Kluyveromyces lactis: one gene and its partners. Each later gene encodes a partner of the first gene's protein in a complex. Links are inferred from orthologs where the notes say so. Each region holds a gene or a part of one and is shown on either strand. Other genes may lie near its edges. The genes, in order: ARP7, SNF5, NPL6, SFH1, SWI1, SWI3 and RSC4.

Evidence for each region.
Region 2: ARP7 (region 1) and SNF5 share a complex: the UniProt entries of both Saccharomyces cerevisiae proteins name them as parts of the SWI/SNF global transcription activator complex. The link is inferred for Kluyveromyces lactis from reciprocal best matches to the Saccharomyces cerevisiae genes ARP7 and SNF5.
Region 3: ARP7 (region 1) and NPL6 share a complex: the UniProt entries of both Saccharomyces cerevisiae proteins name them as parts of the two forms of the RSC complex. The link is inferred for Kluyveromyces lactis from reciprocal best matches to the Saccharomyces cerevisiae genes ARP7 and NPL6.
Region 4: ARP7 (region 1) and SFH1 share a complex: the UniProt entries of both Saccharomyces cerevisiae proteins name them as parts of the two forms of the RSC complex. The link is inferred for Kluyveromyces lactis from reciprocal best matches to the Saccharomyces cerevisiae genes ARP7 and SFH1.
Region 5: ARP7 (region 1) and SWI1 share a complex: the UniProt entries of both Saccharomyces cerevisiae proteins name them as parts of the SWI/SNF global transcription activator complex. The link is inferred for Kluyveromyces lactis from reciprocal best matches to the Saccharomyces cerevisiae genes ARP7 and SWI1.
Region 6: ARP7 (region 1) and SWI3 share a complex: the UniProt entries of both Saccharomyces cerevisiae proteins name them as parts of the SWI/SNF global transcription activator complex. The link is inferred for Kluyveromyces lactis from reciprocal best matches to the Saccharomyces cerevisiae genes ARP7 and SWI3.
Region 7: ARP7 (region 1) and RSC4 share a complex: the UniProt entries of both Saccharomyces cerevisiae proteins name them as parts of the two forms of the RSC complex. The link is inferred for Kluyveromyces lactis from reciprocal best matches to the Saccharomyces cerevisiae genes ARP7 and RSC4.

Annotation. Positions count from the first base shown.
Region 1 is NC_006041.1:566,689-570,387, forward strand, and holds ARP7 (Arp7p), read right to left. Parts: upstream 1,938-3,699; coding exon 621-1,937; downstream 1-620. Other genes in the region: EAF6 (Eaf6p), read left to right, coding at 2,388-2,735; AIM24 (Aim24p), read left to right, coding at 3,471-3,699. UniProt on the Saccharomyces cerevisiae protein: Component of the chromatin structure remodeling complex (RSC), which is involved in transcription regulation and nucleosome positioning. RSC is responsible for the transfer of a histone octamer from a nucleosome core particle to naked DNA.
Region 2 is NC_006041.1:1,665,401-1,670,165, forward strand, and holds SNF5 (Snf5p), read right to left. Parts: upstream 3,325-4,765; coding exon 922-3,324; downstream 1-921. Other genes in the region: BSD2 (Bsd2p), read right to left, coding at 1-521; APM3 (Apm3p), read left to right, coding at 3,703-4,765. UniProt on the Saccharomyces cerevisiae protein: Involved in transcriptional activation. Component of the SWI/SNF complex, an ATP-dependent chromatin-remodeling complex, which is required for the positive and negative regulation of gene expression of a large number of genes.
Region 3 is NC_006042.1:1,271,471-1,275,419, reverse strand, and holds NPL6 (Npl6p), read left to right. Parts: upstream 1-1,660; coding exon 1,661-2,923; downstream 2,924-3,949. Other genes in the region: AIP1 (Aip1p), read left to right, coding at 1-1,310; m-AAA protease subunit YTA12, read left to right, coding at 3,342-3,949. UniProt on the Saccharomyces cerevisiae protein: Component of the chromatin structure remodeling complex (RSC), which is involved in transcription regulation and nucleosome positioning. RSC is responsible for the transfer of a histone octamer from a nucleosome core particle to naked DNA.
Region 4 is NC_006039.1:1,628,448-1,632,456, forward strand, and holds SFH1 (Sfh1p), read right to left. Parts: upstream 2,359-4,009; coding exon 1,030-2,358; downstream 1-1,029. Other genes in the region: TAD3 (Tad3p), read left to right, coding at 1-272; NKP2 (Nkp2p), read right to left, coding at 278-733; EFB1 (translation elongation factor 1 subunit beta), read left to right, coding at 3,081-3,160, 3,451-3,994. UniProt on the Saccharomyces cerevisiae protein: Component of the chromatin structure-remodeling complex (RSC), which is involved in transcription regulation and nucleosome positioning. RSC is responsible for the transfer of a histone octamer from a nucleosome core particle to naked DNA.
Region 5 is NC_006040.1:1,041,206-1,045,877, forward strand, and holds the start of SWI1 (Swi1p), read right to left. Parts: upstream 3,323-4,672; coding exon 1-3,322. Other genes in the region: snoRNP complex protein NOP56, read left to right, coding at 3,872-4,672. UniProt on the Saccharomyces cerevisiae protein: Involved in transcriptional activation. Component of the SWI/SNF complex, an ATP-dependent chromatin remodeling complex, which is required for the positive and negative regulation of gene expression of a large number of genes.
Region 6 is NC_006037.1:580,284-585,285, reverse strand, and holds SWI3 (Swi3p), read left to right. Parts: upstream 1-1,997; coding exon 1,998-4,889; downstream 4,890-5,002. Other genes in the region: KLLA0_A06446g (uncharacterized protein), read right to left, coding at 627-1,493. UniProt on the Saccharomyces cerevisiae protein: Involved in transcriptional activation. Component of the SWI/SNF complex, an ATP-dependent chromatin-remodeling complex, which is required for the positive and negative regulation of gene expression of a large number of genes.
Region 7 is NC_006037.1:258,845-262,984, reverse strand, and holds RSC4 (Rsc4p), read right to left. Parts: upstream 2,359-4,140; coding exon 679-2,358; downstream 1-678. Other genes in the region: REC8 (Rec8p), read left to right, coding at 1-545; MEH1 (Meh1p), read right to left, coding at 2,689-3,120; mitochondrial 54S ribosomal protein mL50 MRPL13, read left to right, coding at 3,720-4,140. UniProt on the Saccharomyces cerevisiae protein: Component of the chromatin structure remodeling complex (RSC), which is involved in transcription regulation and nucleosome positioning. RSC is responsible for the transfer of a histone octamer from a nucleosome core particle to naked DNA.

The DNA of each region.
Region 1 (3,699 bases):
GGTTGCAGGGACAATCACAAATGCCTTACATTTCACTGTTGACATCCTTGACAAGTCCCTGTTATTGCTGTTGATAAGATGTCCCTGATGACCCAAGGGTCATCAGGGACATTGTGTTTACCTTCTGATAAGCCTCCCCTCCATGTCACACTGTTTACGTTATCCTAGCAATTCAAAGGAAGATTCTTGATAATACCTAATCTAAATGCGTACATGTGTTTGAATAATTAGATAATTATTCCACGTCTCTACGGAGTTTTCTGGTGTCCCTTTGTTTTTCCAGGAGGAAATTCTAAAAAAGAAACGTACTACGTTTCTTTTCGGAGTGAGTCAAATCTTCCCGGAACGCGTCTTTTTCTATCATTTTATACGCGAAAATGCTTGTTGAAAGAGAATGGATGCCTTCTTTTAGGGTATTGTCTTACTATTTTGGTACCTTTTCTTGAAAAGGATCAGCGCCTCTAAATTATCCTTCTTCGCAATTACTATTCCAGATCCGGTCACGTGGATTAATACTATTTGGTTTAAGTTTTCTTGGGTTTGAAGATTATCCGGTACGTACATTATTATATTTTTATACTGCCAGTTGAGTGAGAGGTAGGGCAGGTGGATATCGCCATTCATTCGATAGATTCCCACGCATGTAACGATTCGCGCAACGGTAGTCTGCATAAGGTTGTTGCAGATTGCCATGATTGGAAGTTTCTGTCTAATTTGGTCTGTTTGAAAAGGATCTTAGGCCTCACTGTGGTTAGATCGTTTAGGGAGACTGAAACGTCATTCAATATTCTTTGCTCTAAACCCTGAATGTTCGAGGTACTTCCTGTCACTAGAATGTTCGTAAGCAGTAGACTTTGTAGTTGTTCAGAAGTGTAGCTGTGCGTTGGGATGTTCGTATCCTCGTTGTTGTTGCTTTGGTTGCCCGAGGAAGCATTACCCGTCGTAGTGGAGGACCCTGTAGTGTTACTGCCTGCGGTGGACATTGCATTGACACCATTTAATAAACTTTGGATGCATGCTCTGATCAATCCAATGACCCCAATTAATTTCTCCGGATGTGGCTTTTTCTCTATGTCATTGACATCTGCCATTTCTACATCTCCGTTTGCATTGTTACTTACGTGTATCACTGGCTTGAACAAGAGTTCTCCAATGGTGTATAGCTGTTTGTTAGTGAAGGTGAGAGTTTTCTTATCGAGTAGGAAATTTTTGGTCAAGTCCATTGGTGACACCATATGTTGGTAATGAGGAGCCACGTCATAATTAGCATCCAATTCAATCGGAGAAACTTGCAGCATGCTATTCTTGAAGTTGGGTAGCCATTCAGTGGCATCCCTCCAGATTTTCGTTGATTTGCCCGAATCCTGCTTCAAATATTGATCGCAGATCTGCCAGTTTAAGAATGCACCACCGATCTTGTTCTCCTTGCGGTATTGTTTGAAAAGAACACCATCAATGACAACGTCCACTTTCACTCCACTGTGGCCAATGTCCACCACAATTCCACTCGATCTTCCCTGACTCAACGTGTTGCAGACAGCCTCATTCAAAAGTTGGACCATTGGAAAACCGTACCCCAACAGTTGTTCCATAAATCTCTTACGACGCGCACTGTTTAAGTCGGAAGGTAAGACAACACATACTGGATAGTCTTCGAACTGTATGCCTAGGCTTTGAAAGATGTACTGCCATTGAGCATCCATCATATCCCAATCATTTGGAAGTCCGTTCTTATCGTACAATTGGTATATTTCAGCGCTCTCATCGTCGCAATGCTCTATCATTTCCCATTTACCGAAAACTTTAACATCCGATCCATCTCTTTTATAGGCCAAATATTGAGATGGTACAATTAACTGCGGCAAATCTTGGTTGCTGAACCCACAAATAACCCTAGTCTGCGAGATCTGTATCACCACACTCTTCATGGTCGGCATCTTGAACTTGCAATAGATATAACGTAATCACTCTATATGCACCAGAACAAAGAGAAGATCTTCAATTTTCAAAAGCAGATAAGGATTAACTTCTTCAACAGCTACCTGTTTTTGCCGATTATAACTGCTATCAATGGAAAATTATGGCTCTTAAACGGGATACTAGAGTTGATAACACTGTTTATGTTGATGTTTACATGTTGGCTTTTTTTTCGTCGGTTCTTCGAATTTCAAATTCCAAACTGAGTTCCAGTACTGTTACCCGGACTCGTCGCCAATGTTAATATTGTTTGAAAGAACGCACTACTTCAACATCCAATTTGCATATATAATAACAAGAAAGGATGAAACAGACGATCCGCTATCGAACGGATTTGAATCTGGTTTTGATTGTGTTCTACTCTATCGGTAAAGTGATTTAACATAACCTAACACTCATCTCACACAACTATGGACGAACAAAAGAAAGAATACGAGAAACTAAAGAAGAAGCTTCGAGATGCTTTAGTACAGAAGAAACAACTCGAAGCCAAGTGGAATAGTTTAGAGCAAGAGGTATACGATAAAGAAACAGAGTATCTATCACAGAAACCATCTTCCAGAATGGGGAACATTCTGCTCGGGTTTCAGGGTTTCAACAAGAGCAGTTCTGCGCAGCAGATATTGTCTGACCACTCACATTCGTCAAATGCCCAGCCATTGGACGATAATGATCGCATTTTTTCATTAAGTTCGTACCTTTTTGCAAAACAATTGGCTGCTTCCAATCATCAAGAACAAACGAAGTCCAATGATTGAACAGGAAGCTTATCTGTTTGCCCTCTTCACTGAGACATATCCAGGTCCAGGACACCGGACACAAGAGACAAGAGACAAGAGACAAGAGAAACTAAGGGAGGGGGAAGAAAAACGGTATTATTTTACCCCGCATCTATTTCTCTTGAAGCACTCTTTAAATGCTCGTGATAATTAATCACTTTGTAACATTATGTATTCTCTCTTCCTAAAGTATTTTCAATTACTTACCCTTAATTTTTGAGAGGCCTCTTTTTCTTTTCATCCGTCAGATCAACGATCATAGAATCAGTTTAATCAATAAAACTTGCGTCAAACTACTCGTAGAAGCAAAGGATTGAATCGTTTACAGATTTCCAGTCCAACCGAATTGTCCCAATGTCTTAGATGAGACTCAGGTGCTATGTAATGGTGTATGTATGTGTGGTTAGCATGAATTCTAACCTCCATTCTTGATTGTTAATTGGAGTATCACTCAGCCAATCAATTTTCAGAAACTGCCAAAACCTTGAAATTTTCAGCTTCAAAGAATTAGATATTATTATAACAAAAGATAGAGCAGCAATTACACATTCAAACAAACCAATGAGAACAAAGACAGAATCGTGAATTGCTGTCGATTAGGAGCGTTTGAAAAGGTACCCAATTGTTGATCGTTTAATCGGATTAGACATCAATTGAAGCAAATAACTGTTTTTGTCTCTCTTAGTGAGAAAAAGTAGCGAAAAAAGAAAAAATATGTGGAGGCGTTCTATCTCGATTTTAAGGCCGTCACCAACAACAGTGATTCCATCCAATGTGTTGAGCGGATCACAATTAGAATTGAAACCATTGTTTGATAACCATGCTGAAACCACTAGAGAGGATGGATCTAATGTTACTACTACACAATTCCAACTATTGGGGGACAACCCGACATTAGCCTCGATACAAGTTTCACCTTCGATCCCATTATATGTGAGGCACA
Region 2 (4,765 bases), about 1.1 Mb from region 1:
CATAAGAAATTGAATATATTCCCAACTGGAAGGCCGTCGATGCAAATTTCGTTGTAATACAATCCAACGCCATCGTCGTCTATACCGTAATATGGTGGAGCCATATCAGCCGCAGCCTCGTCATACGTAGGAGGCTTATCCTGTTCCCCATTCCCATTGATACCGTTCCTTTCAGGTTTCGCCATAAGATTACTGAATACACCATCAGAACTCGCCCCGACTTGTAACCTCATCGCTTGCTCGCTTGAACTGCCGCCTCTAAACAGTCTATCTAATATATTGAACTTTCGGGCAACAAAGTTCAAATGTTGTTGGAACTGCCCATTCATCTGGTGCAGTCTAGAAGACGACGAAGTTGTCCCTGTTTCCACATCATCAGCTCTTGAAGATTCGGTTTCTGGCTGTGTTTGCAGCTGCGACTGCGATTGTGAAGGAGACAAAGTCACTGAGGAAGATCCACCGACTTCATCTTGGCTCCTGCCAACGCCACTTCCGGCTACGAATTCCGAATGCTCAGACATACTCGCCGCGTAGATAATCTCAGTAAACTCTACTACCCTCGAGTAACACTCAAATATGGCTGCTTTGATGAGTTTGTGGCCTCTGCATACCAAGTTTCTTAAAAGGGTTGGTTCGTTCAAATGTTAACGTTTCCATTACTAAATATATTTTTTGGTTTTGAGCTGTTTATGAAATTTAGAGGCTTACACCATAAAGAATGAAACAGGCACACATAAATATCGATATACGTAGAGGTGCGTGTCAAGACCCTCGAGTAAGCCCGCGATCATCGGCGTTCGGTCTCTCATAGCTATCTTCAGTGCTCTTTCTTCTAGCTTATTTATCATAGTATTTCTTAAAATTGTTACAGGTGGTACCACATAAATACATATGTACATATATATATATATAGCGAATTACTCATTGAATGGTTGTCTTCGCCTTTGGTAGCTTTATAGTGACGAGTAAAGATTTCCCAACGTCGTGCATAATAACTCTGCATGCTGATGAGTTTCTTACTTCCTGTTGGAATTCTTGTTTTGGAGTTGCTTTAGCTCTGTCTAAATATTCGACTCTAGTTGATGGCTGGAACGATAACGTACTTGGACCAACATCAATACCTCCAGGCAAAGTTGTTGTTGGAAGTAGTTGACGGCACGTTTTTGGGATATCCCCAAGATCAGGAAGTTCTGCATCATGGGGTAGTTGCGGTGTACTTCCGGACGATGGGTGATTTTCTGTATTGCCTCTTCTATTGAAACGAACTTGTCTACGTTTCCTTCTAGTGTCTCTGTCCTTATCCTTAACCAAACGTTCTAGTTCTGCGGGAGATATCTGTAATAAGTTAGGTGTGTATAAAAACGTATCCTTTTGTGGTCTCATTACGTCTGCTAAGGTGAGTACAGGCAAGAATCTTGTTCTGATATCGTCTTCTTCAACGGGGCTACCGTCAAATTTGTAACCAACCATATATAATGACTTGTGATACATGTGAACTTGTTCTCTAATGCAATGTGCAATTGCTGTTAAGAATTCACCCGGAAGGGATAGTTCTTCGCATAAACACTCCGCGAACGATTCTGGACAATTATCTGGATTTGACACATCCCATTCAACGGTATCTATCAATTGATGTTGTCCAACGACAATATCTAGGTTGATTTTTATTCTGAAATCATCGCCCCCGAACCTCTGCACATTTTCAAAAGGATTTGGAGTATATTCTTGAAGTTGTTCTTTGATACTATTCACAATCTGTTGATACATCTCCGTGGTGACTTTGAGCCTATAATCCTTCAGCGTTGTTTTCACAAATTCGTTGATTGACAGTAGCGTGTCTGATCTGTTCCATACGAATGTGTCCCTCAAAGTAAATTTATCCTTTTCTGCATCAAACTCTAATCTAACAGGTACTAGTTCCTCCCCTGTTTGATTCATTGTCCATTCATATATTTCGTCCAAGTGCATTTCATAAGTGTCATCGACTTGAATCCTTGTGAGATCGTTACTGAAGCCATTTCCATATCCAGAATAACCGTCACCCCATATACTCTTAGATTTATGTCCTTGAGTTGTGTTGGTAATGGATTGCATTCGACTGTTCCTCAATTCTTTGTAATAATCAAGATCTTGCTGTAATCTCAATATTACCTCCCTCTGACTGAATCCGAATTTGGAAATAGGTTCCAATCCATTAGTGTCCGCCAACAAGTTGTCCTTATCCAACAAATCCCGTTCAATAACATGTTCATATAATCTTGTATCAAAACTCACAGGCTCGTTATCAGCTCTTTCTTTCTCTGACCATAACCTAGTATGAGGTAATGGAGTCTCAGGTGGGTCTTGAAGAATAGTTTGGAATTTGGGAATATCAGGAAGTTGTTTCTGAAACTTCTGAAGCACTTGCTGTAGTATTGCAGCTTGTGATGGTTGAGGTGGCTGTGGTACTGAAACTGGGACTTGTTGTTGTTGTTGTCGTTGTGGTGGTTGTCGTTGTGGTGGTTGTGGTGGTTGTGATTGTGGCTGTTGTGACGAAGGAACCATCGATTGATTACTGTTCATAACTGGTATATTCTGAGTTATAGGTTGACCTCCAATCATTTGTTGTGGATTCCCCATTTGTTGCTGAAGTGGTATACGAGGTTTCTGAGGTTGAGGCTGTTGAAGCTGCGGTTGGTTAGGAGGAATAATGTTGCGTGGCGGGGATTGATGTTGTTGCTGCTGAACAGGTTGTTGTGGTGGTACAGGCTGTTGTTGCTGTTGCTGTTGCTGTCTATGTTGTTGCTGTAATTTGACTTCAAGCTGAGTGATCATCAGAAGAGCGTTCTGGTTATTTCTCGCAATAGCCTGTTGTTTGATGGACTGAAGCCATTGCATTTGCAATGCCGGTGATAGTTGTGCAATTTGTGGAGGAAGATTCAAAGAAGTTCGTTGTTGAGATTGGGGAGGAGACTGCTGCTGTTGCTGTTGAACCTGCTGTTGTTGCAATTGCTGGGCTTGTTGCACCTGCTGAGCTCGTTGCTCCTGTTGCTGCTGCGTCTGAGATCTCTGCATTTGTTGTTGTTTGAGCTTCATTAGCTGCGCACGCTGAGCAGCATCCAATTGGTTCATATTACCGGGAGAAGAAACCTGTTCTTGCTGCATCTGCTGTGCTTGTCTTTGTCTCTGCAATAACAACTGTTGATGTTTCTGCTGAATCATCTGCAACTGCGCTGGCGTCAAGGATTGTAGGATATGTTGTGGAACCTGCGAAAGCGAAAAGGAAGGCGTCCCTATGTTACTCAAAGGGTTCGCATTGCCAGGATTCATTGGTGGGTTTGACATTCTCCTTTCAGCTTATATAGAGAAACAAAACTGCAACTAGTGTTTTCAATTGCAGACAGAAAGGGAAACACAGAAGGAAACTAGTATATTCTTTCTTGCGATAATTCTCAACCAAATGCTGTCAAATATACCCTTTCTGAAGCCTACCTGAAAGGTGTTCAGTTCCCTTAAAAACAAGAATTTCTTGTTGATCTTTAAAGTTTGTTGTTGGTCTTGTTCTTTCGTTCTTTGAATTCATGAAATTCACGAAATTTTGATTAACGATTAAGAGAAGTACGAGATGGAACAACCTAATGAAAAATTAAGGCAAGCAAACAGGATACAGCGGGTTATCCGCATATAGTTGGTTATCATAGTGAACTTAAGCAATTGGCTACAATGATTGTTAGCATATATGTCAATGATAGGTGCCAGGAAACGCTATTCCAGTACTCAACAGTAGCAGAGTGCCCTACTTTTCGGCAACTAGTTGTTAAACTACAAGGTAAAGACGAATCATGGGAGTCTAAATACTGCAATGAGATAAATTCTGAGTTGAAGCTTTGCAGACACGTTTCTTTGCTGAATCCAGTTGTTTATTGGTGTTTAATTTCGTGTTCAGAGTCCACAGTTTCCGTGGTATCTTTGTTAGAAGAGATAGATTTACTGTTGTTACAATATTTCGATAAGGACCAATTAACGAAGCAGAAGATAAATAATAACCTCGATCGATTATCGATGCTTTTCCATTGTATCCTTGATGCTGGGCAACCGGTGATAACAGACTCGAACCGTTTAAAGGCAATGGTCCCAAGTAGAAACGATTTATCGAAATTGTTGAAGACGACAACCAATACAATTACCAAGACCTTACAACAACCGGACGGGTCAATGTTTAAGAATGGTCCGGAAAAATCAAGGTTTAGTGGCAGTAGATATCCATCTTCATCCGCTTCATCCGTTTCCTCGTTCCACGTTGGGTCTCCTGGCTCCTCGTTAGTTGATCATTCCGTTGATGAATCTGGTGTCCCATGGAGAATGAGCGGCATCAACTATGCTAATAACGAAATATTCATCGATATGAGTGAGGAAATTAACGCTATTGTGGAAAAGGGGAAACTGTTAACCGGACATATCAAGGGTTGTATCGACTTAAACAACCATCTCAGCGGACAGCCATTGGTTGAGATGAAACTTGGGCTCTTAGACCACAAGCTTAGCCACTTAAACACGACTTTCCATAGATGCATCTTAGAGGATAAGGCGAACAGCATAAATGATTTAATCGCTGGGAAATTCACTAAGCTAACGTTTGTACCTCCTGATGGACGTACTAGGCTCTGTCAATATACCCTACCGTTGGTGAAAAGAGACTCAAACCTCGGCATTATAGACGTAAATTTACAAAGCAGTTTAGGTAAAAGACTTGACGAATTTGAGGTCCGCGTCACCGTTGGAATGA
Region 3 (3,949 bases), on another chromosome or scaffold:
GTCCACCTTTCAAGTTTGCAAGCAGTGATAGAACGCATCACGGCCAAGGTAAATTCGTTAGAGACGTCAAGTTCTCTCCAGGTGCAGGGAAATATGCTGTGTCTGTCGGTAGCGATCGTAAGATATGTTGCTTTGATGGTAAGACTGGTGAATTTATCAAATACATTGAGTCTGAAAAGGCTCCAATTGGCGGTGGTTTGTTTGCTGTCGCATGGTTAGACGATGGTGAAGAGTCTTCTAGAGTTGTTACCGTGGGTGCTGATTGCACTGCAAGGTTGTGGGATGTGTCGTTGGATGATCCATTCCAACAGTCTTGGAAATTAGGTGCAGATGTTTCGAATCAAATTGTCGGTGTTGTTGTCACTAAGGATAACTCCATCGTAACATTGACGCTTGATGGGACCTTGAGCATTTTGTCTCTAAATGATCATACCATCAAATTCATTCATGGTCACAACAAGGGGATTACTTCTTTGGCGGTAAACCCATTAGTGTCTGGGTCATACGATGGTAGAGTTGTTACCTGGAATTCAGAAGGTGACGAAGTCAATGCTATTAGCCATGATATTCATGGTAATCTCGTATTGGCCATCGATAACTCTGATAACGAGGTATCGAGTGTTTCTTGGGACGAAACGTTGAAGAATTTCATCGATGGTGAAAAAGCGCTTGCTGAAACGAAGTACCAATTCTCAGAGCAACCTAAATGTGCGGTTTTCTCTCATAACACTTTGGCTGTTGCTACAAACACTAACGAATTGTTGATCATCGATAACAAGAGTGGGCTATTATCGAAATCGATAACTCTAGATAAACCTGTCGGGGCCCTCGCATTGGGAACTACTTTCGTGGCAGTGGCATACGAACAAACCAACTCCGTGCAGCTATTCAAAATTTCTGACCTATCAGATGCATTCACGTTGGCCACTCCATTACGTGCCACTCCATCTGCTCTTTCCTTCTCTCCATCACAAAAGTACTTGGCTGCCGGTGACGTGTCCGGTAAGATTATCCTATATGATCTTGACACGAAGGACGTCAAGACCTCGAGATGGTCATTCCACACAAGCAGAATTACATCCATTGACTGGAGACCTTCTGCAAATGATGATGATTTGGAGGAAGATTATGTTGTCACTGGCTCTCTGGACACCAACATCTTCATCTACTCTGTTAACAAACCTATGAAAGTGATAAAAAGATTAAACGCACAAAAGGACGGTGTGTCCAGTGTACTATGGGAAAACGATTCCACTATCGTCAGCGCCGGTGTGGACGCCTGTATCAAGAGGTGGACCGTCGAGTTTTGAATGAGACACATTTTTTACCAGTAACACATAAAAGTATTTAACAGTTAGTTAACGTACGAAATATAAGACAATGAATAACAATAGGAGGATCAGATGTTGCATCAAGGCCCCCCCCCCCAGAAATATCTAGAGCTTCTAGTAAAGCCGTTGAAGTTGTTCTTTCTTCTTTATCATCTCATACGTTTTGATGTTTCTCTTGAACATTGAACAGATTCCTGCCTCTCAAAGCTTATATATAAACAAACAAGATCAACAAAGCTCGGTTGAAAGCGGATATACGCATAACATTCCTTAGTAATTCTGTATTTGGAATCACCAATCAAGAAGCTTGAGTTTCTCCTATATCAGATATGGCAGCAGCAGGAAGAGGCAGGAAGAGCTCGAGGGTTTCTCGCTCAGCTAACAAAGCAACCAGCTATAAAATCGATACAGACGAGTTAGACATTGAAGATGATGAAAAGGATCAAGAGTACCCTGGACCAGCCAATGATGATGATTACGATGATGACCCAGATGCTGATATCGAAAACGAGGGTAAACCATCTCGTTCCAAGCGCAAGGCCGCTTCGAGCACACCTGTTCCAGTGGTACTAGCGACAAGAGGAAGGCCTTCAAAGAGGAAAAGAGAAGAAGATTTGAACGATCCCTTAAGACAGAAACTACCGTACCCAGTGGACGAAAACGGGTCTCCATACCCAATTGTGAATGACGAGTATTCATTACCTGAGGATCCAGAGGGTGAAACCAAGATCACCAAGAATGGTGATCTTCTAGAGGGAAGACAATTTGTAGTCAGAACTTTCACGGTACCTTCCAGAGGTGAAGTTAAATACATGCTTTCTACTGAGCCAGCCCGTGCCGTTGGGTTCAGAGACTCATACTTGTTCTTCCAGTACCATCCAAACCTATACAAATTGATTATCTCGCAATCAGAGAGAGACGATCTCATCAAAAATGGTGTATTGCCCTATTCGTACAGAAACAGAATCATTGCGCTAGTTACTGCAAGGAGTGTGTTCCGAGAATTCGGAGCCAAGGTTGTTGTAGATGGTAAAAACATCACGGATGATTATTACGCCGGTAAGCTTCGTGCATCCGGGAAGGTGAAAGAGGGTACCCCAGCAAGAGAAACATCACACACAAGTGTCACTGGAAGAAATACCCTTGGAATAGACATTCCGCAACAATTATCCGTCAACCCATCCAAAAATGCAGTAGAATTCTTTGACAAGAGAAATCACAACATCCCGGCAACAAGCAATATCTCATCTACGAACTGGCTCTATCATCATGCTGCTGCATGCAGTAGATTCAACAGTGATCTTTTCTACGATAGAGAACGCATTCTTCTCATCGAAAACCTCGGACTAAGAGATACGTACACGAACGTCTTACATATACCACAATCCACACAATCGACGAGAGTGATATCAGTGAAGAAAGTGAAAGGAAACACAAGCCAAGTTATGTACGAAACAAGAATCAAAGCTCTTGACCTAGCAAGACCTTGCACCGGTCTTTCTGACGTCCCTACATCGATGTACGAAGACATCTTGGACGAAGATATAGTCGCTGCTATAGAAGAACAAAAGAGATTCGAAACAAGCCTATAACATAGCTGAACTGACCTCCCATGTATACGTGTATATCTCAACATACGTAATAAGAGTGTATTATACTAAGTGGCCGGGTAACGATATGTCCTTGCTCTACCAAAAATGAATTTGGGCTTTTCAACCAGAACAACCCCATAAGGTGAACAGACAAGGCCATTTGCCACCGATAAAAGGAGCGTTAGCAGTTACATTTGCAATCTACAGTGGTTGCATTGTGAATTTAAGACCCTATAGTAGTGTAAAATAGCCAGGTGTTTGTTGAAACGGCTGTTTTTGTCTCGGTTTGTTTCGGTGTTAACAAAGATTTTCCACTGGTTTTAAATTCGAAAAGTCCTGTTAGGTAAACGGTATAGCAATCAGACTCGGCTAACCGTAGCAGCGACGTGGTGGTTTTATTACATTGAAGTGACTTGCAATGTTCCATTTAATAAGGCCGGTATCTAGGCTTGGCGTAAAGTCTGTGGCCAGTAGGGCGTTGTACAAAGTTCCAAAGGGGCGTTCGCTGATATTGTTACGAAACGACGTATGCCGTACGTTCCATTCCGGTAAGCTCAACTTGATGCAGAATCGGTTTGAAAAGGAGCCTACGGATGAAGACGTTGATAAAGTCAGGAAAGAAGTTAGAAAGTTTATCGATGATTTGAACAAAGATCAGAAACTCGATATGGAAGAGCGTAAGAAGAAGATTGAAGAGCAATTACAGAGGTTGGAGCTTGCTGTGAAGAGGCAGCAGGAAAAAGAAGATGCCCAAGATAAAGCGAATGATCCTTTCCATCTAGAGCGCGAGAAGAGAGAATTTGAAGAATCGGCGAAGAAGCATGATCCCAAGAATGATCCCAAGAATGAGTCTAAGAAGAGTTCCAACGGAAATACGGATTTCACACCAAATGATTCGAATATGATGACTGTTAACATCAATTTATTCAAAGTTGGTTTGACATTGACGATATTAGCATTTATCCTACACAGATTGAACAGCATGGAGGAACAAAGAGAACTTACATGGCAAGAATTCCGTAACCA
Region 4 (4,009 bases), on another chromosome or scaffold:
ATATACATCAAGGGGAAACTTATCTCTGCTTAGATTTTGACGTATACACCAGTCATGAGCCGTGCTCAATGTGCAGCATGGCACTAATTCATTCCAGAGTGAAAAGATGCATATTCATCAATCCTATGTCGGTCAGCGGTGCACTGAAACCTGATTCAGGTGATGGATACTGCATGCATTCAAACAAAGATTTGAACTCCAAGTATGAAGTCTTCCAATGGGTTGGTGAAGAATTGGAAGTGCCTGGAATAGATTCTACCGTGTGTTCTTGAGCTTTTCAACTAGAAGGTTGGTTGGTTTCCATGTCCGTTATTAATTTTGCAACATTATCGTACATGGAAGTATCTATTGCTTCAATGTCACTGAGTTCCATTGCATATTTCAAAAGTTTTGTATTTTTATTATCTAGTTCAATGTTTAATTGATTTAAATGCTGCTGCAACATATCATCAATGCTATGCAATAGTTTATTTACTTCCTCGAGAGAAATGGAGTCTTCAATTTGTTCCCGTTCGAGCTCAACTCTTATCAAAGACAGCTTGTTGTCGATGAGTTTATCTATTTTTTCAATGATCCGTTGATCATTCTCTTCATAACTTTTGTATAACTGTGACGCGATCACAGTGTTGGATTCCGGTATCGTTCTAGAAAATAGATCAACAAACTGATCCTCAGTATACAAACGTGAGACTAAAATGCCGTCTAAATGCTTGTATAATACTTCGTGGAGCATAGTAATTGAAGTAATAAGGATTTCGGGTATGTACTTTTTATTATTCCCAGCGTACGCATTACTGATTCGCGATGATCTTTGATCTTTTTCTATTTGTTGTGGAGATTTTTGGCGACTAAATAAATAATAGTCTGACGAAAAGGAAGAGTATTTGTGCAAAACCACAGATGACGGTGGTATTAATACATTAATGATACATAAATCTCCACGAATAGATGGAGAACTTTATTTTCTATACAGCTTTGTCTAATGGGCGTCTGTGAAGTTAAACTGCTTGGCCGGAAAAGAGAACACACTTATATTCTCAAAGTAGTTTCCAAGTCATCCATTCTCCTCTTGCCTCTTCTTCTGGATCTTCCGTCATCGACCTTGGCACTTTCTCTCTTTAATCTTCTCATGTTTCTCTCCTTTTCAATTTCACGCTTTTCGATTTCCCATTGTGAGAGGACTTCTACCTTAGGGAACCATGAGGCGCCAAGTGTATCTATATCTAGACGGATACCTGATGTGTAACCGAAAGCTGCCTTATTTTCTACATGGGCCAAATTCAAATTACCTTCGAGCCAATCCTTCTTTACCTTTAGCAAGGATTCATGCAACGAATGTGCAATGGCAGGAACGAACTCTCTTTGCAAGCCCAGGTCCTGTACCACCAATTCTGCGAATTGTTCTGGGCATAATGAATCGTCATTAAGGTTCCATTCAAAAGTGTCATCATAAAGCTTGGAATCGAGATTTGCAGTCAAATTTATTATCACGTGTAAATCAGGAACCTGTAAAGATGCCAATGTTTCATATTCTTGTAATTGTTCGTTAATCATAGAGATAATCTGTGTATATGGGGAATTATTTGGGTTGGAAAGCACTGGGAAATCAAGATCCTGGCACAAGATCGTAGCAAACTGTTCTGGAGTCATCGAATGGTCGTTCAAATTCCACATGAAAAAATCTGCTAACTTGTGTCCACTGAATTCAACGTTTAACCGTATTGGAACCATTATCGGGCTTTCTATATCCACTTGCTGCGGATCCTGGATAGAATCTCCAAGAAGGTCTTTATAACTGATAGCGATCCTACTTTGCACGAAAGTTTCCCTAATCCTAGGATATTTCAACAAAGCTAGCGGAGTGGCAGAATCATCCTGACTTTCAAGGTCGGGCAAGTCGTTTAGTTTGATGCGATCCAATTCTGAGCTAGGATTTGACGTTCCTGCAGTACCATCGTTTGTACCGTCTGGCCCAGTATCTGCAGCCGGCGTTCCGCCAGTGACAGCACCGGGGTCACCAGACCCGGGCGTGCCCTCACCAATGCCACCATCTTCACCGAGTCCCGCCGCTGCGGCGGCGGTGGCGGCAGCAGCCGCAGCACCTCCATCACTACCGTCTACTTGATCATAGTAGTCCCCACCCCTACGACGACCATCCGAATCGTCCACATCATCCTCCAAATCATCCTCATCGTTCTTGTCGATGAATTCATCCAAGAGATCCGTATCGAACTCAGCGTAGTTCACCTGTTTACCCCTCTTGTTTCTCGATAACTGCGCAGCAGTAAACAACGGAACATCCTCGTTCTTCACTCTATTATGGAAGTTACTCAAGTAGGCTTGCGGTACGAGCGACATATCAATACAATTTTGGGAGGCAGGTCGTAGTTGCTTTGTCTGCTGTATATCAGCACGCTTCAATGAGTAAACCGTTTGTTTGTAGTAACACTATCATAGTCTTTATTCAACCAGCCCTAAAACACGAACTTGCACTTCTATTCTTGAATTGATGGATACTTTTTCATATTCGTATACAGTGATGAGTTGATTGAACAATCTAAGTGTTACCCTGAGTAAACATTTCACTTGTCAAAAGAAAAGGAATCCAGTTTGAAAAAAATGAAAAAAAGAACACTTTCTCAGAAAAATCCGTACCGTTTTGGAACCATTTACTATGGCAAAATCGTTTTTCAAAGGGGTGGACCCATGATTTTTGAAAATAAACTTGGTTTTTCTCAAATTGTCGCAGGGCACGCCGCAGCGTGCCCTGTTTTCTGCTGTTGCCTTTCCAGTATCTATCTCATCGCACTTACAAGGAAGAAAAAAAATTTTCTTCCACCGCACATTGCATGCACTTTGAATACACGTAGATGCCATAATTCCATAGTACATACGTCTTACATATCATATATCTCATAAATATATATATATATATATTGGAACTTTTCGAATTAGAGTTTTTCATCAGCTTTTCAGTATTTTTTTTTCGTCAATTTGATTCAACGTTCCTTGTAAGAAGAAGAAGAGGAATTGATTCTTTCCTAGTTTCTTCTCTCACCAGGTTTAACTATCCATTAACGATGTCTTTCTCTGATTTCTCCAAGGTCGAAACCTTGCAAAAGTTGAACACTTTCTTGGCTGACAAGTCTTACATTGAAGGGTATGTGAAATAATTATAGTGGTGGTTTTCCAATGGCATCAAGCAGTTTTTTGAATAAGAGAATTCTTCAAAGTTTACTATTTCAATGATGAACAAATTCTTTGGTCCGTGTTTATGACGGGAAGTAAGACCCCCGGTATGAGTGACAAAGAGACAGTACCTAGACAGTACGATTCTGATTTATCTTTTTTATTGAATTCTCTTTTCAGCAAGCAAGCTTAGCTGCCATACAAAAAAATTTCATTTTTTTGTTCTTTCCATTTTACTAACTAACAATTGCATCAATATAGTACCTCTGCTACTCAAGCTGACGTCTCTGCTTTCAAGGCTTTCCAATCTACTTACCCAGAATTCTCTAGATGGTTCAACCACATTGCTTCCAAGGCTGATCAATTCGAATCCTTGCCAGCTGCTACTTCTACACCAGCTGCTGCTGAAGAAGAAGATGACGATGACGAAGTCGATTTGTTCGGTTCTGACGATGATGTCGATGAAGAAGCTGAACAATTGAAGGCTAAGAGAATCGCTGAATACAACGAAAAGAAGGCTGCTAAGCCAAAGGCTGCTGCTAAGTCTATCGTTACCTTGGATGTTAAGCCATGGGATGACGAAACCGATTTGGAAGAATTGGTTGCCAACGTTAAGAACATCGAAATGGATGGTTTGAACTGGGGTGCTCACCAATGGATTCCAATTGGTTTCGGTATCAAGAAGTTGCAAATTAACATGGTCATCGAAGATGCTAAGGTTTCTCTTGATGAATTGCAACAACTTATCGAAGAAGATGAAGACCACGTCCAATCTACTGATGTTGCTGCTATGCAAAAGTTGTAATTAAACTAATTTAAG
Region 5 (4,672 bases), on another chromosome or scaffold:
TATTTGTTGTTGGATTCATTATGATTGTCACAGCTGAATTGTCGCTTGGAAGTAAATTAGGGGTTTGTGACAACTCTTCTATTATCTTCTTTCTAGCTAATTTTGGATGATCCGAAATCAATGCTAATTCAAGACTCTTTTCTAGCATTAGCCTAATCAACTGAATAGCTGTACCACTGATAATACTTAAAACGTCCTTGAACTCTCGCAAATTAGTGTTTTGCATTGCAATATTAGCAAGAGCCTCGCTAATTCTACGAAGGCTTACTCCAATATTTTCTTCTGCTGTGAGCCATTTGCATGGGAGGTTATGATTTTTGAAAATACAGTGCTCCTCTTGAGCATCGATAAACTTTACAATGCAAACAGCAGCTGTCAGAGCTTGTAAAATAGATGGAAGTGAGTCTTCAATCAGATTAGGGATTTTATTGATTTGTTGGAAGGGGATGGTGGAAATGATAAAAGAGAAAATGTCATTAAACAACTTGAATTTTTCGTCCCCGTTATACAAATCTAAAACCTGCTGGCATATGTCATCATCGTCATTTTCTTCAGTGAAAACACCAGTTAATACTGACTTAAAATGTGCTCTATTTGGGTAACCAAGAGAAAGAAGTTTAGCCAAGACGTCCGCACCGTATGTCTGACATTTTTCAACATTCATGGTGTACTCTGCATATGTCAAGACGCTATTCTCTTGAATATGATCTTTCGGATCAGCGAAGCTCAACGCTAGCATTATGATTAACAAACAAGTTACTGTTGATTCAATTTTCAACATATGTGTAATATTAGATAGAATAAAAATCAAATCCTTCTTGAAGTTTAAAACCCTGCGCTCAAAAATAAACTCATCTCTATGAATGAAAACCATCCAAAGAGTATCTGCAATATATTTTTCCATGTGGTAATTATTAGCCATTACCTGTGAATTCTGTTCGTTAAATGAAAGATTTCTCAAGATCATTGAAATTGTTGTCAATTGGTCAACAATCAACAAGTGCGGATCCTCTGCTCCAGAACGGTGACACTTGCTAAAGATGGATCCGACTTCCGTTTTGACTTTAGTTAGAGAATCCATATATGAAATGAAATGTAGCTTTTTGATTTCATCGAGATTTTCGTCTTTCAACAAATCAGGTAAGTATTCAATATCATTCTCATCTTCGTCCTTCTCCAGTGAGACTTCAGGTAATGTCGCATCGACTTCTATTTCTGGTTCCGTCGGTGTGATCGGAAGTTGAGAAAAATCTATACCAGTTAAAGAGTCTACCTTTACTGTATATTCAGATTGATCTTCTCCAGATTTTTTGACGCTTTCCTTGAAAATTTTATCAATATGAGTATCAGAGGAATCCGAATGTTTGGGAGGCGTATTAATCCACTGCTGTTCATCATATTCAGTATAAGACCCTGATATCCTTGAATAATCCTTCTTCAATAGTTTATGCAGTAACTGACACGCCAAGATACAGAGGTTATCCAAAAGCTCACGACATTTATCGAGTGGAATTGATAAAGTGTTATCGGAGCTAATAACTAATAATGAGTTTAGTGCGGTATTGACTTCCGGGTTATTAGAACTTTGTAACTGCATTGCAATTGCATTGATATTGACGACACCAAACTCCGGCGCAAAGAGGAAGATGGGTTTAAAATTATGTATCATCTCACCAAGAGCTGAAATCTTTGAAATATCATACCCATTTTGCGTGGTGATGGCTCTTGTGGTGGGACTATAATGCCTGGCCATCGTTCTCTTATACACCTTCGGAAGCTTCTTAATTTGCTCTTCACGACGTTTCAAAATAATTTCCTGTTGTTTCTTCAATTGTTGTTCGAATATGAGCTTTTGCTGCTGCTGTTGTTGCTCCGCTTCTTGTTGTTGACGCTTTTGCAGCTCTTCCATTTGTTTTCTTTCCTGTTCTAGTTCTTTCTTAGTCTTCTTCTTCACTCTTGGCTTCTTAGGCTGTTTAGGTTTTGCTTGTTTTGGGACGGTGTTCTTTGTTTTGCCTTGAGCCTTAGGAATCTGTTGTTGCTTCATTTGTAAATCCGGTTGTATTACGTTTTGACCCTGCATAAAAGACTGATTTTGCACCTGCGGTTGGAACTGCGGTGTATTCGTTCTAATGTTTCTTATAATGTCCTGAAGTAATTGCTGTAACATGATACGATTGGTTTGAGTTTCTTTAATACCTTCTGGGGTCATCAAGTACTTTTCGTACGGTAGTAAATATCTGTAGTACGTCTTTGCCAATTCTTCTCCAGCATTTGGTCCTTGTATATTCATCTTTTTCGCCAATATGTGCCATTGTTGTGCTTTAGTGACGTTTTCTCCTCCGTTAAGCTTCTGAACATACATGTATAAGATGAAGAAACTGACCTGGGTACCATTAATCATTTGAGCAATATCTGCGGGTTGATTCTTTCTCCTGCAATGTTCCAAAAATGATTTTCTAAATAGTTCAAACTGTTTGGTGTTTAATTCCTGACCGACTTTCCGTTGAATGGCTGGATCTAGATTTTGTAGAACGTTTCTTTGGTTATTAGACTGATTCTGTACTTGAGGCGCATGTTGTTGCATTCTCGCCTGTGCTTGCGCTTGTGCTTGTATGTGCGCTTGAGCTTGGGCTTGAGCTTGAGCCTGTGCTTGTGCTTGTGCTTGGGCTTGAGCTTGAGCTTGTGCTTGAGCCTGTGCCTGCGCTTGAGCCTGTGCTTGTTGCTGCTGTTGTCTTAGTTTCTGCTGCTGTAATTGGTTGAATGCCTGCTGTTGTTGCAACATCTGTAGCTTTTGTTGCTGTTGCTGTTGCCTCTGTTGATGCGCAGCAATTATTGCGGCTCTATCCATATACTGAGGGCTCTGTCTACTAGCACTCGCCTGAGCTAAAGACTCATCGGCCATTGTAGGGGATCCACTTGGCACATTTTGCGGCGTTCCACGCTGCGATAACATCTGCTGTAAAGAAGTAGTGCCGGCGGGAGACTGCGTCGGTGCTACATTGGCTGTATTCATAGGAATTGGTCCTGCGGCTGGAGAAAACATGGATTGTGGAGAGATAGAGACTCCACCGTTCTTCATCGACGGAGGTGAATTGACAGTTGAGAATGAATTTCTAGCCAATATAGCCTGGGGCGTTACGCCTGCGTTAACATCTTCCATCGGCCCTAAATTACTATCAGGTATACCTTGCTGGTTGGGTGCGCCTGAGTTATCAAGGAAGGAAAGGTACTCATCACCGTTCGAACCTCCTTGACCGAAAAGCTGGCCATCGCCAGAATTCATTGGATCACTCTCGTCCGGGAACAAAAACTGATCGTCCATCCGTATGTACCAATAAAGTTACCGTTTGACCCTTGATATCAGGGGAGAGAAATCACGCCTAAATAAAACCTAAAACAAGGGAATTATATTCATTCTGAAAGTAGTGATAGTCAAGTGTCAATTGAATTCATTGAATACAATTTCGAGTTTCCTTTCGTTGTTTTGTTTTTGGAAAGACAAGAAAATTCCAGGTCACGTGATTTTGTCAATTATTCTATATCCGGGTAATACATTCGATCACGTGTATAACTTACCCGGCCGCGGCCGGGTAAGTAAAATATATTTCCCATTCTGCTTTTCTTTTTCAAGCTCATCGCTCTTTTTTTTTTGTTTGGAAAATTTTCATTTCGAAGCCAATAAAGAGAGATGAGCTTTCTGACCAGTGAATATATTGTATATTGTGTTATGTGCACAGCGATATTTCAATTAATACTTGTCTGTATTATCTTGAGTTTTGTTCATTCATTCCGAAGTTAGTGTGTGTTGAAGAGTCCAGATCAAAGAGATTTTACGGTAGCGAGGAAACTTTATTGATCAGAGAATTAAATAATGGCTCCTATTGAATATCTTTTGTTCGAAGAACCTACCGGGTATGGTATCTTCAAAGTGAAATTGCAACAGGATGATATCGGATCTCGTTTGAAGGAAGTCCAGCAACAGATCAATGATTTCGGCTCTTTCACTAAGTTAGTTGAGTTGGTTTCTTTTGCTCCTTTCAAAGGTGCTGCTCAAGCTTTGGAAAATGCTAATGATATTTCTGAAGGTTTAGTCTCTGAACATTTGAAAGCTTTGTTGGATTTAAATTTACCAAAGGGTTCTTCTAAGAAGACTGTTACTTTGGCTATTTCTGATAAGAACTTAGGTCCATCCATTAAAGAAGTTTTTCCATTTGTTGATTGTATTTCTAATGAGTTAGCTCAGGATTTGATTCGTGGTGTTAGATTACACGGTGACAAATTATTGAAAGATTTACAACCTGGTGATTTGGAAAGAGCTCAACTTGGTTTGGGTCATGCTTACTCTCGTGCTAAGGTTAAGTTCTCTGTTCAGAAAAACGATAACCATATCATTCAAGCCATTGCTCTCTTGGATCAATTGGATAAGGATATCAACACTTTTGCCATGAGAGTGAAGGAATGGTACGGTTGGCATTTCCCAGAGTTGGCAAAGTTAGTCCCAGACAATTACAAGTTTGCTAAACTCGTTCTATTCATTAAGGATAAGGCATCTTTGAACGAAGAATCCTTGCACGATTTATCGGAAATTTTGGATAACGATGCTGGTATCAGTGAAAGAGTGATCGATAACGCTCGTATCTCTATGGGTCAAGATCTTTCTGAAACTGATATG
Region 6 (5,002 bases), on another chromosome or scaffold:
TTTAGAATTTCTTCAGATCTGATAATAGCCACGCGGTTATTATATCTAGTTGTGTTAAACTCAACACTGTAGTTAATGCATATTAGTGAATTTTATTGGCCTCCAACCCTTTTTTGTAGGTTAATCATCGTGTTGGTCTTCGCATTCTTTACGGTAATGAAGATTAACATCATGTTAAGACCTTTCTTTGGTTCTACCTCTTTGATGTCAAGTAAAGTCTGATTCCATGTTTCTCTTCTGCACAGTTAGAATATTACAGACCAGTAAGCTTCTCTGAATTGTTTACGTTCAGTGTGGTTATCATTCCTTGAGAGTGCCTGTTGATAGCTTAGTGATCTATCTATTTTGGTCTGTGCTATCCGTGGTACACTTTGTAACGCCTGGATTGAGGAAATGTAGAAACGTCCTTTTTGTTTCATACGGTCAAAATTGGAGTCCGGACTCTCTTTAATCATTAAATTGACTATTATATGAAAATCCATTTGTGGATCAGGTTCATCCGTTATAAAGTAGTCTTTATCTGATACTTGAACCACTTATATCCTATCCTCCACTCCTCCTACCAAGAATCAGTAGTTGTCGGTTGTAAGATTGTTTGGATGACCATTGTAGTTTTTGGGATTTTTCTAGTCCCAGAATTTATTCCGTTGTTTGAAGGATTTATTCCTGTCATCGATTCTCCTATCAGTGTTTTCGAGTGTTCTCTTTTGTTTAGTCATTTTGCTAAACCTCAATTCCTTCTTTAATTCTAGGATTATCTCAGTGGTTTGATTTGTAGGTGGTTTGCTGATGGGATGTATGCTATCAAAACCATGGTAAATCATAATATGTCTGTACACTTTGTCGGCCAGGATAGTATCCAAGTGAGGTAAATTGCATTTTTTGAAAGCTTCAACTAAGTCTGTTAAAGTTTTTATTAAACCCTTCACCTTGTAACGAGGATTTACTTCGAAGAATTTGACTCTATGCTCCAGTAAATAAGGATTGTATTTCTTATGGATATAGTCCATAGCAATGGTGGGAATGTCGGCATAATCCTCACGGAATTTCTCTCGATGAGCTTCCAACCATTCTGGGTTTTCTGGTAGAGATACTACTCTTTCATATACGTCTTGCCACCATGCGACTTGATCTGAATTGATACCGTCGAATAGAGTTGTATTTGAGAAGTCAAACTTATCTTCATACCCACAATAAGTGAAGTATTTATAAATATCAAACAACCATTTTTCTAAGAAGTCTTTTGTTTTGACCTCTCTGATATGAACATCATATTTTGCCTTTTCACACGGGAAAGGACTAAAGATGTTATCTTTTAGGTACCGTGTAATACTCGAACTATATTCATCTGTTACTTCCTTGATTGAGTAATTGTTGAACAGCTTTTTGTTGTTTGAACCTGTGGCGCTACCATATTGAGTCCCGGAAGCTCTCTGTTCAGTGTTACCCTGACATGATGATATTCCTTCGCTCATATTATCTGTATCTGACATCAATTGACTATTTATTATACACCGTTGTGTGGTCTGTATTCCTCCCTCTCCCCACCATCATCTTTCCATTATATAATGCCTAATCATCCTATGAGTTGGCATAAGATTGATTCTTCTCTTCTATTTGTACTTCTCTATCTCGTATATGATAAAAGAGTTGTCACGTAATAGTTCTTTCTATCTCGTATACTTTCGTATAGATGGATCTTAACACTTAACATATCACGTGCACAAAGGTATCATCTATTACCCGGACACAAATGGTCTTCCTTAGGAAAGATGTTTCGTCCTGTTTTAACAATGTTAAAATAAACAATTTCAAGTAAACAGACATTAAGTCAGGTTTGGGCCAGTTCAATCTAAAGCATCGATCAATTTTCGCGTCATTGCTACTACTTTTCAGCTTGTCATCACTCATCAGTTATTCTGACTCCACTTCTTTGTTGACAAGTGAAGGAAAGCAATTCGCCTGAGGAAGATTATAGTTTATACACGGATTTTTTAATGGCAGATGACGAACAACGGGACTCTGTTCTTGAGTCTGCACAAACTCAGAGCTCAGTAGAGAATACCCAAAACACGTCAGAACAACCTGGTTTGATAGACCATACCGAGGATGTAGATATGGGAGGAATTGATGATAACTTGGACATGGACGTTGAACCTAATCTACCTGATGATTTTGGTAACGAATTCTCAGAATCTTTGCCGCAAGACTTCCCTGAAGAGTTCGGCGATGCACCATTGGCCGAAAACCTCCCTGAAGGAATAAACGATAAGCTTTTATCGAATCTGGATAATGAGAACGGTGACGCGGACGATGCAGATCTATTTGAGGAAGAACCCGAGGAACAAAACCCTGCTAATGAAGCATCCGAATCTGATTTGTTGAAATCCCCATCTAAAGAAGACGATACTACCGCAGCAGGTAATGAGGAACAAGAACAAGAACAAGAACAAGAACAGGACGAACAAATGGATAAAGAGAATGACGAAATCGCGTTGCCAGAAACTAAAAAGGAAAGCGATTCGAACGGCGAGGGGAACAATGACCCTGTTGGAAATATAGAAACTGAACAGAGCGAGGTAGAACCTGCACAGAACGAACTGGAAACTGCCAATGACAAACAAGAGCCAGCACCAGAACCAGAATCATTTACTGAAAACCCCAAATTACCAGACGTGAAGGACTTAGGGCAGCCCGATTCTGGTATAGATGCTCCAGTACATACTACAACAGAGACAACAGTTGATGAAGAAATTGATAAAGAGCACAATACTGAAGCAGAAGCAGAACCTGAAGTAGATAGTATTCTTGAACAAGAATCGAGATCAGCTTCTCCTGAATCAAATATAACCGTAAAGCAAGAAAGTAATACTGCTGATCCAAAATTATTTGTACCGCAATCCCATGAAATTGTAATCCCTTCATACTCGAAGTGGTTTAATTTGACCAAAGTTCATGAAATCGAAGTGAAATCTTTACCGGAATTCTTCACTAATAGAATACCTTCAAAGACACCCCAGATGTACGTCAAATATCGTAACTTCATGGTAAACTCTTATAGACTAAATCCAAATGAATACTTCACAGTCACTGCAGCTAGAAGAAACCTTTGTGGAGACGCGGGCGCCCTCTTCAGACTACATAAATTCTTAACCAAATGGGGATTGATCAACTATCAAGTAAATGCTACCAAGAAACCTAAAATGGTTGAACCCCCATTCACTGGTGAATATGAGACGAGATACGATGCTCCGCGTGGATTATTCCCATTCCAATCTTATAAGCCGGCCCTACAACTTCCTGATATGACCCGCTTAAAAAAGATAATGACTCAGTTAGACACCAAACCCTCGGAACCATCATCTTTGAAAAGGACTAGTGATGAAATCTCCAGTGAGCACACTCAAGATTTGTCAAACGGGGGATCCAGTCACGTTAATGGTATCACTAACAAAACGGCTTCGGGTTCTGTGGGACCAGAGAACTACGGCCTGAAGGATGAAAAGGAGTCTCCAGTGAATGCCGACCTTGAGAGAAACGATCGCAAACCCAAAAGACCAAAGATTTCTCAACTGATTGACAAAGATTGGACCCAAGAAGAAATCTATAAACTTATCGAACTTATTAAAGAGCATGGCACCGATTGGTTTAACATTGCCAAAACTCTAGGAACAAAGACTCCGGAGCAATGTATTTTAAGGTTTTTACAATTGCCTATTGAAGATGCATTTTTGATGGATGAAAAAGATCTCGGACTCTTGAAGTTTGGTTCTCATATTCCTTTCAATAAATCTGACAACCCCGTAATGAGTACGTTGGCATTTTTAATAGGGTTAGTCGATCCTAACATTGTTCAGCATTTGACTAAAAGGGCCATTTCTCTTCATGACATTAATGTTAATACGGGTGCTAACACGGAAGCAAAAGACGCAGAAGAAAGGCAGGAAGAACAAAAAGAAGAACAAACAGAGGAATCAAAAGAAGAACAAAAAGAAGAAATAAAAACTGACGCCAGGGAAATTGAGCATACAGAAACGGGAGCTGAAAAATCTGAACCTGCAAATTCAAATGCCGCAGATCACTCCACAGCAACTGAAGGAACTGCTCCAGCAGCAGAACAAGTAGCAAATTCAGATGTAACTGTTGACACTTCAAATGAGAAAAATGCAAATACACCAGAGAATGAAGAAAAAGAAGCAACAGAAGTAAGAGCTGAAAAAACAGGAGAAGAAGGGCTACAAAAAGCGGAAGAAAAGAATAAAGAGGAAGGTAGTCAAGAAGAAGCGATTCCAGTGGAAGAACCTCATCAAGAAGAATCTTTAGAGAATGAAGCATTATCAAACAAGGAAACACCATCGGAAAAACAAGAGCTGCCAGAAGAACAAGCAGTAACGGTCACAAATGCTGAATCTGATGCTAGAATAACAGTGAAGGACGGCACAGAAGTCGCTCTAGCTACCTTGGGGCTACGCTCTCATGTATTCGCTACCAACCAAGAAAAATTGATGAATAGGACGACAAATGATTTAATCAATACTCAACTAACAAAAGTCGATTTGAAGTTGAAGGCTCTTGATACCATGGAAAAATCCTTGGAACTAGAGCGCAAGGCTGTGCATAGGAAGCAAGAAGATGTTTTCATTCAAAGGCTAAGCTTCACCAAGTATGCCAACTCTCTTATGGGAAAATTTGAATCTTTACTGAAGCAAATTCCGGAATCTCCAGAAATCAAACAGCAATTACACGAATTACGTACCATAATTGCTGATCCACCAAAGACAAGTATCACATCCCAATCGGGTAATCTACAAGATTCTGATGATCTAGACTCCGCCAACAAACCAATATCGATTGAGTCACCGCAGTTATATCGTTATTGGTCAGGTTAATAATATAGACAATATTCATGTATTATATAGCCTCGTAACATTATATTAATTTAAACTATTGAAACAACACAAAAAGTCAAGCCTCTCCTTGTCCAAATGCAACATCTTCGTTG
Region 7 (4,140 bases), on another chromosome or scaffold:
CTGAGTATATGGACATGCCAATGGATGATCCCCAATTTATGGAACTTGATATCCCTCCCTCAAGTTTTGGTAGAAGCACAAACAGAAACTATACTGCCAATTCAGACAATCTCGAAAACTTAAGAGGATATCCAAATCGAAGAAGAGGAGCGATAAGAGGAGACAGCGGTTCTGCGGACTACCTTTCAGGATCAGATTCAATTCCACAGACATTTAATGAAAATCAACAGCAGCTTATCGTGCATGATAAGCAGACAGAAAAATTCTTTCAATATATTGTTGAGAGAGGACAACACATAGGTAAAAGAACTGCCGCTTTCCCAGGTTATTCCAGAAAATTCCTTTTTGAAGATATTATCCCAAGTAAGTTAAGTCAGGAAGAAGATGAAGAGATTATACCTGTTACTAAAAGAATTGCCTGTAATGCCTTTTTGTCGCTTTTACAATTGGCTACTTCGAGCAAGTTGAAAATTGATCTTTATAATGTAGAGCCTGAAAAGGTGTTCAGGGTACTAAATGGAGATGATATCATTGTATATTGCTAACTGGATCGAGTGAGAGTGTTTTTTTTTTAATAACTGACGTTCGGTTCTCTTGAGAGTGATTCTTCTTTCAAGCCCCATTTTTTGAGTAAATTTATAGTCTTCATATATTACACTGGAGCTACATAATAGCTAACTAAGGTAATACACTAATCCAGAATTTGGCTGTTTCCAAACGGTCGTTCTCTGAATCTCTTACAGAGAAAGTAACAGTGTTCAGACCTTCTGCCAACTTGATATCGTATCTTGCTTTACTTTCGTCGAATTTATCCCCATCTAATACTGGTATTGGGTTTACTTTATCCTTGTTTGCTATCAAAACTGCAGGGCTATCTTCTGAAACAGGAGAGCTTAATTGTGAAACCACAGTAATTGAATTTTGTTTTGGTGGTAGTGTAATAGCATATTCGTGGCTGGTTTGGGTGAGGGCACCATCTGCGAATATGTATTCGAACCAAGTGATATTGTCGGAATTCTGATACAGTCCCTTCAGTGGTCGTATTGATTGTTCATAAAAACTTCTAGAAGAAGAAATCTGAATCTTTTCTATCACTTTATAAGGCACTGGCTCTGTCTTTGGTTCAATGTTGTGCTTTTTTATAACAGGAAGGATGTTAAATTTCAAGGGAAGTGGTTTATCTGGTTCATTGTTTTCAACTTTCGAGTCTGCAGTTTTACTTGTTTTTGATGGTCCCAAAAGGTAATCTCTAGACATTGGGCCTCGATTATATCCATTTCCTAGTCCCTCTATATAATTGTATTCTTCGTTAGTTTCATCATCATCAGAAAGAATTGGTTCTTCCTCTTCTTCTTCTTGTACGAACTGTTTATATTCAATTTTGTCGTATTCCAGCGTGATTTCTCCTTTTTCTCTAGCAGTTTCTAATTCAGGGAAGAACCTTCTTTGGATCAATACACTAAAACATTTCATCAGCTTCAATGCATCGCTATATATTGTAGTATCTTCGTCATTGAAAACCAATGCGTTTTGAAACGTCAAATTAACATCGGTAATGAAATCGTAGATTTTGTGATAGTATCCAAGTTCTAAGTTATTTTTCACCAAGTTCAATGAGTTAGGTAAACGAATCACTTCTTCATATTCTGGATACTCATCTTTATCTACCAATTCAAGGAACGGTTGGCATATGTTTAAAGTGTCATCCAAGTTGTTGTTAGAAGCCGCTTCTAATTTTACGTCATCATCTTCTGCTAAGATTTCTGCCATCTGTTTATCTGTTACATTGAGTAAAGTGTCAAAGATTGCTATGAAACGTGTCTTCACATCATCGTTAACCAAGAAATTTCTTGTAGCATTTTTTACTTTCAACACTTCATTTTTGATGAAATATACCACTTGTTTCGCATTTTTAACAATAAGAGAATCTGGATCGTTATATGCAAGACAGTTCTTGTAGATCAGTTCACAATCCAATAAGAACTTGGTTTCCCCACCACTATATTCGTAATCCCTGCTTTTAATTTCGTTAATAGAGATCGGTTGATCAATTTTGTAATAGTACTGTGGATGAAACTTCCTACTGGGTAGTTTGATAAAGTGTTTGAATAAAGCCTTGTGAGCTTCAACTAAATTATCCAAAGTAAATGCGATGAACAAATTCAACTTAGGAATAGTCCAATCTAGATCTACAATGAGCTCTTCTGTAGGATCCAAAGGGTGCACATAATCCACTTTGGGTAGAGCGCCGCTTCTAGGACGTTTTCCTGGTGTATATCTTGGTACATAATTCTGTTTTGAATGCTTTTGTTCGGGTTCCTCACTGGGATCTTCTGATCTGCTTCTTTTCACAGCCATAGTATTTGGCGCTTTCCAGTTTGTTTATGCTTTTTTTTTTGCCTCCTCGCTTCCTTGGCTTCTTAAATGAACAAATTTCAGTATATATGCAGCAGTCAAGGCACTTACTCTAACCGTACCTAATTGGCTCCTTTGACAAACCAAAATCGTATACTGCGTATTGTTTTATATGTCTATTCTACAAAGTTTGTATATTTCAATGTTTTCAATAAAGAGAGTGAAAGTACCTTTACAAGATTGAGAAATGTTCAGACGTATATAGTGATATATCGCATTTCAACATTTGGTGAACCCATTTTGAGTGCGCTAATAGTGCAGAAACCTATTGCGTCACGATTCGATATTGGCGACCAATGGCTTGTTATATTCCACGGTAAGGTTTTTCACTAGGTTAGCGAAGTACTTTTTGTGAAATTCTTGAATCGCCTTCCTTGTGTCCTGTTTTATTTTCGAACTGGGAAGTACCGTTAAGGGTACGTCATGTAAAATTTCTCTTTGATCTTGCACATAGCTCGAACCTAAATCGTGTGAGGATGCTACGATACCGCTGTTGCTGATCATACCTATATCTATAAGCTTATCGTTCGTATTATTCACGATTTCGGTCAATTCAAGTTCTCTTGCAAGCACTCTTTCCTTCTGTCGTTGTTCCATTTCGTTATAATCTAATTGGGCTTGTGAGCCGTACCTGTCCTGTTCCTGCAATAACGGGTCATTTTCGTCGCTATCTTGACGAAAGCAGCAACTTAGCACATTTCCCATAATATTTTAAATGTTTTAGGCAGATTTTCGGTAGCTACTGATGCTAGAATTCGTTAGTAAACGTAAACTATCTCATTGCCTTGGTGGCTTTAAGGTAAAGGAACTACACTTACTATAGATGTTGATAAAAAGCACTGGGAAGCATAAATTTCATATTCTAGTATGTGGGTTGTGGGTGTTTTGAATAGGGTAACCCCGTCTTCTTTATCTATCGGGCTACATAGATAAGCAGCTTTTAGTTACTGAATACAGTGAACATCATGCAAACCAGGAAGTACGCACTTAACTCGACCCGTTGTTAAAGACCACTATGATGCAACTATCTATCGCTTCAGATCCTGTTTCTTTCTCTCTTTAGAACCTTCCCATATGGACTACATTCTTTCTATGCCCAATTGAAAAATTGAAAAATTTCATCTAAAAACTATAAACTTACAATTTGATGAAGATATTGTATATTAGAACATTAATTGAACGGTCAAGTTCTTGATGAGCTTAAGCACAGAAGTATCTTCTAGTGTTGTCTGATTTGGCGGTTGATATCAGTTCATTAAAGCGTGGTACTGTGCATATTTTTCAATCGAAAACAAAAAAGAATAATGATGCTAGCGTCTAGGTACGTGCCAGTAGTGCGTTCATCAAGACAATTCACTTCAAGTGCAGTGCGCTCTGATTTCTTGTCATGGTTCAGAAGAAATAAAAACAAAGATGCTGGTGTCGTTTCAACACAGCCAGAATTGCAAAGAGATACAAAAGAAGTTATAAATGAGATCGAGTCCGGGAAAACAACTGTAGTGAAGAGCTCAACGGTCACAAGATTAGAGTTAACAGATGATGATTTTGTTGGTATCGATTCATCTAGAAGAGAAGAACTTATTCGTTTACAAAAGTTGGATGTCGTCCCATTCAACGAGTGGTTATCTCAGGATAAATTAAGTACCGAACAACAGTTGGAACAGGTTGTTTTGGAAAGTTATCAGGAAACTTTCGGTGATGTCCCAACGGAAGAACAACTGGGGA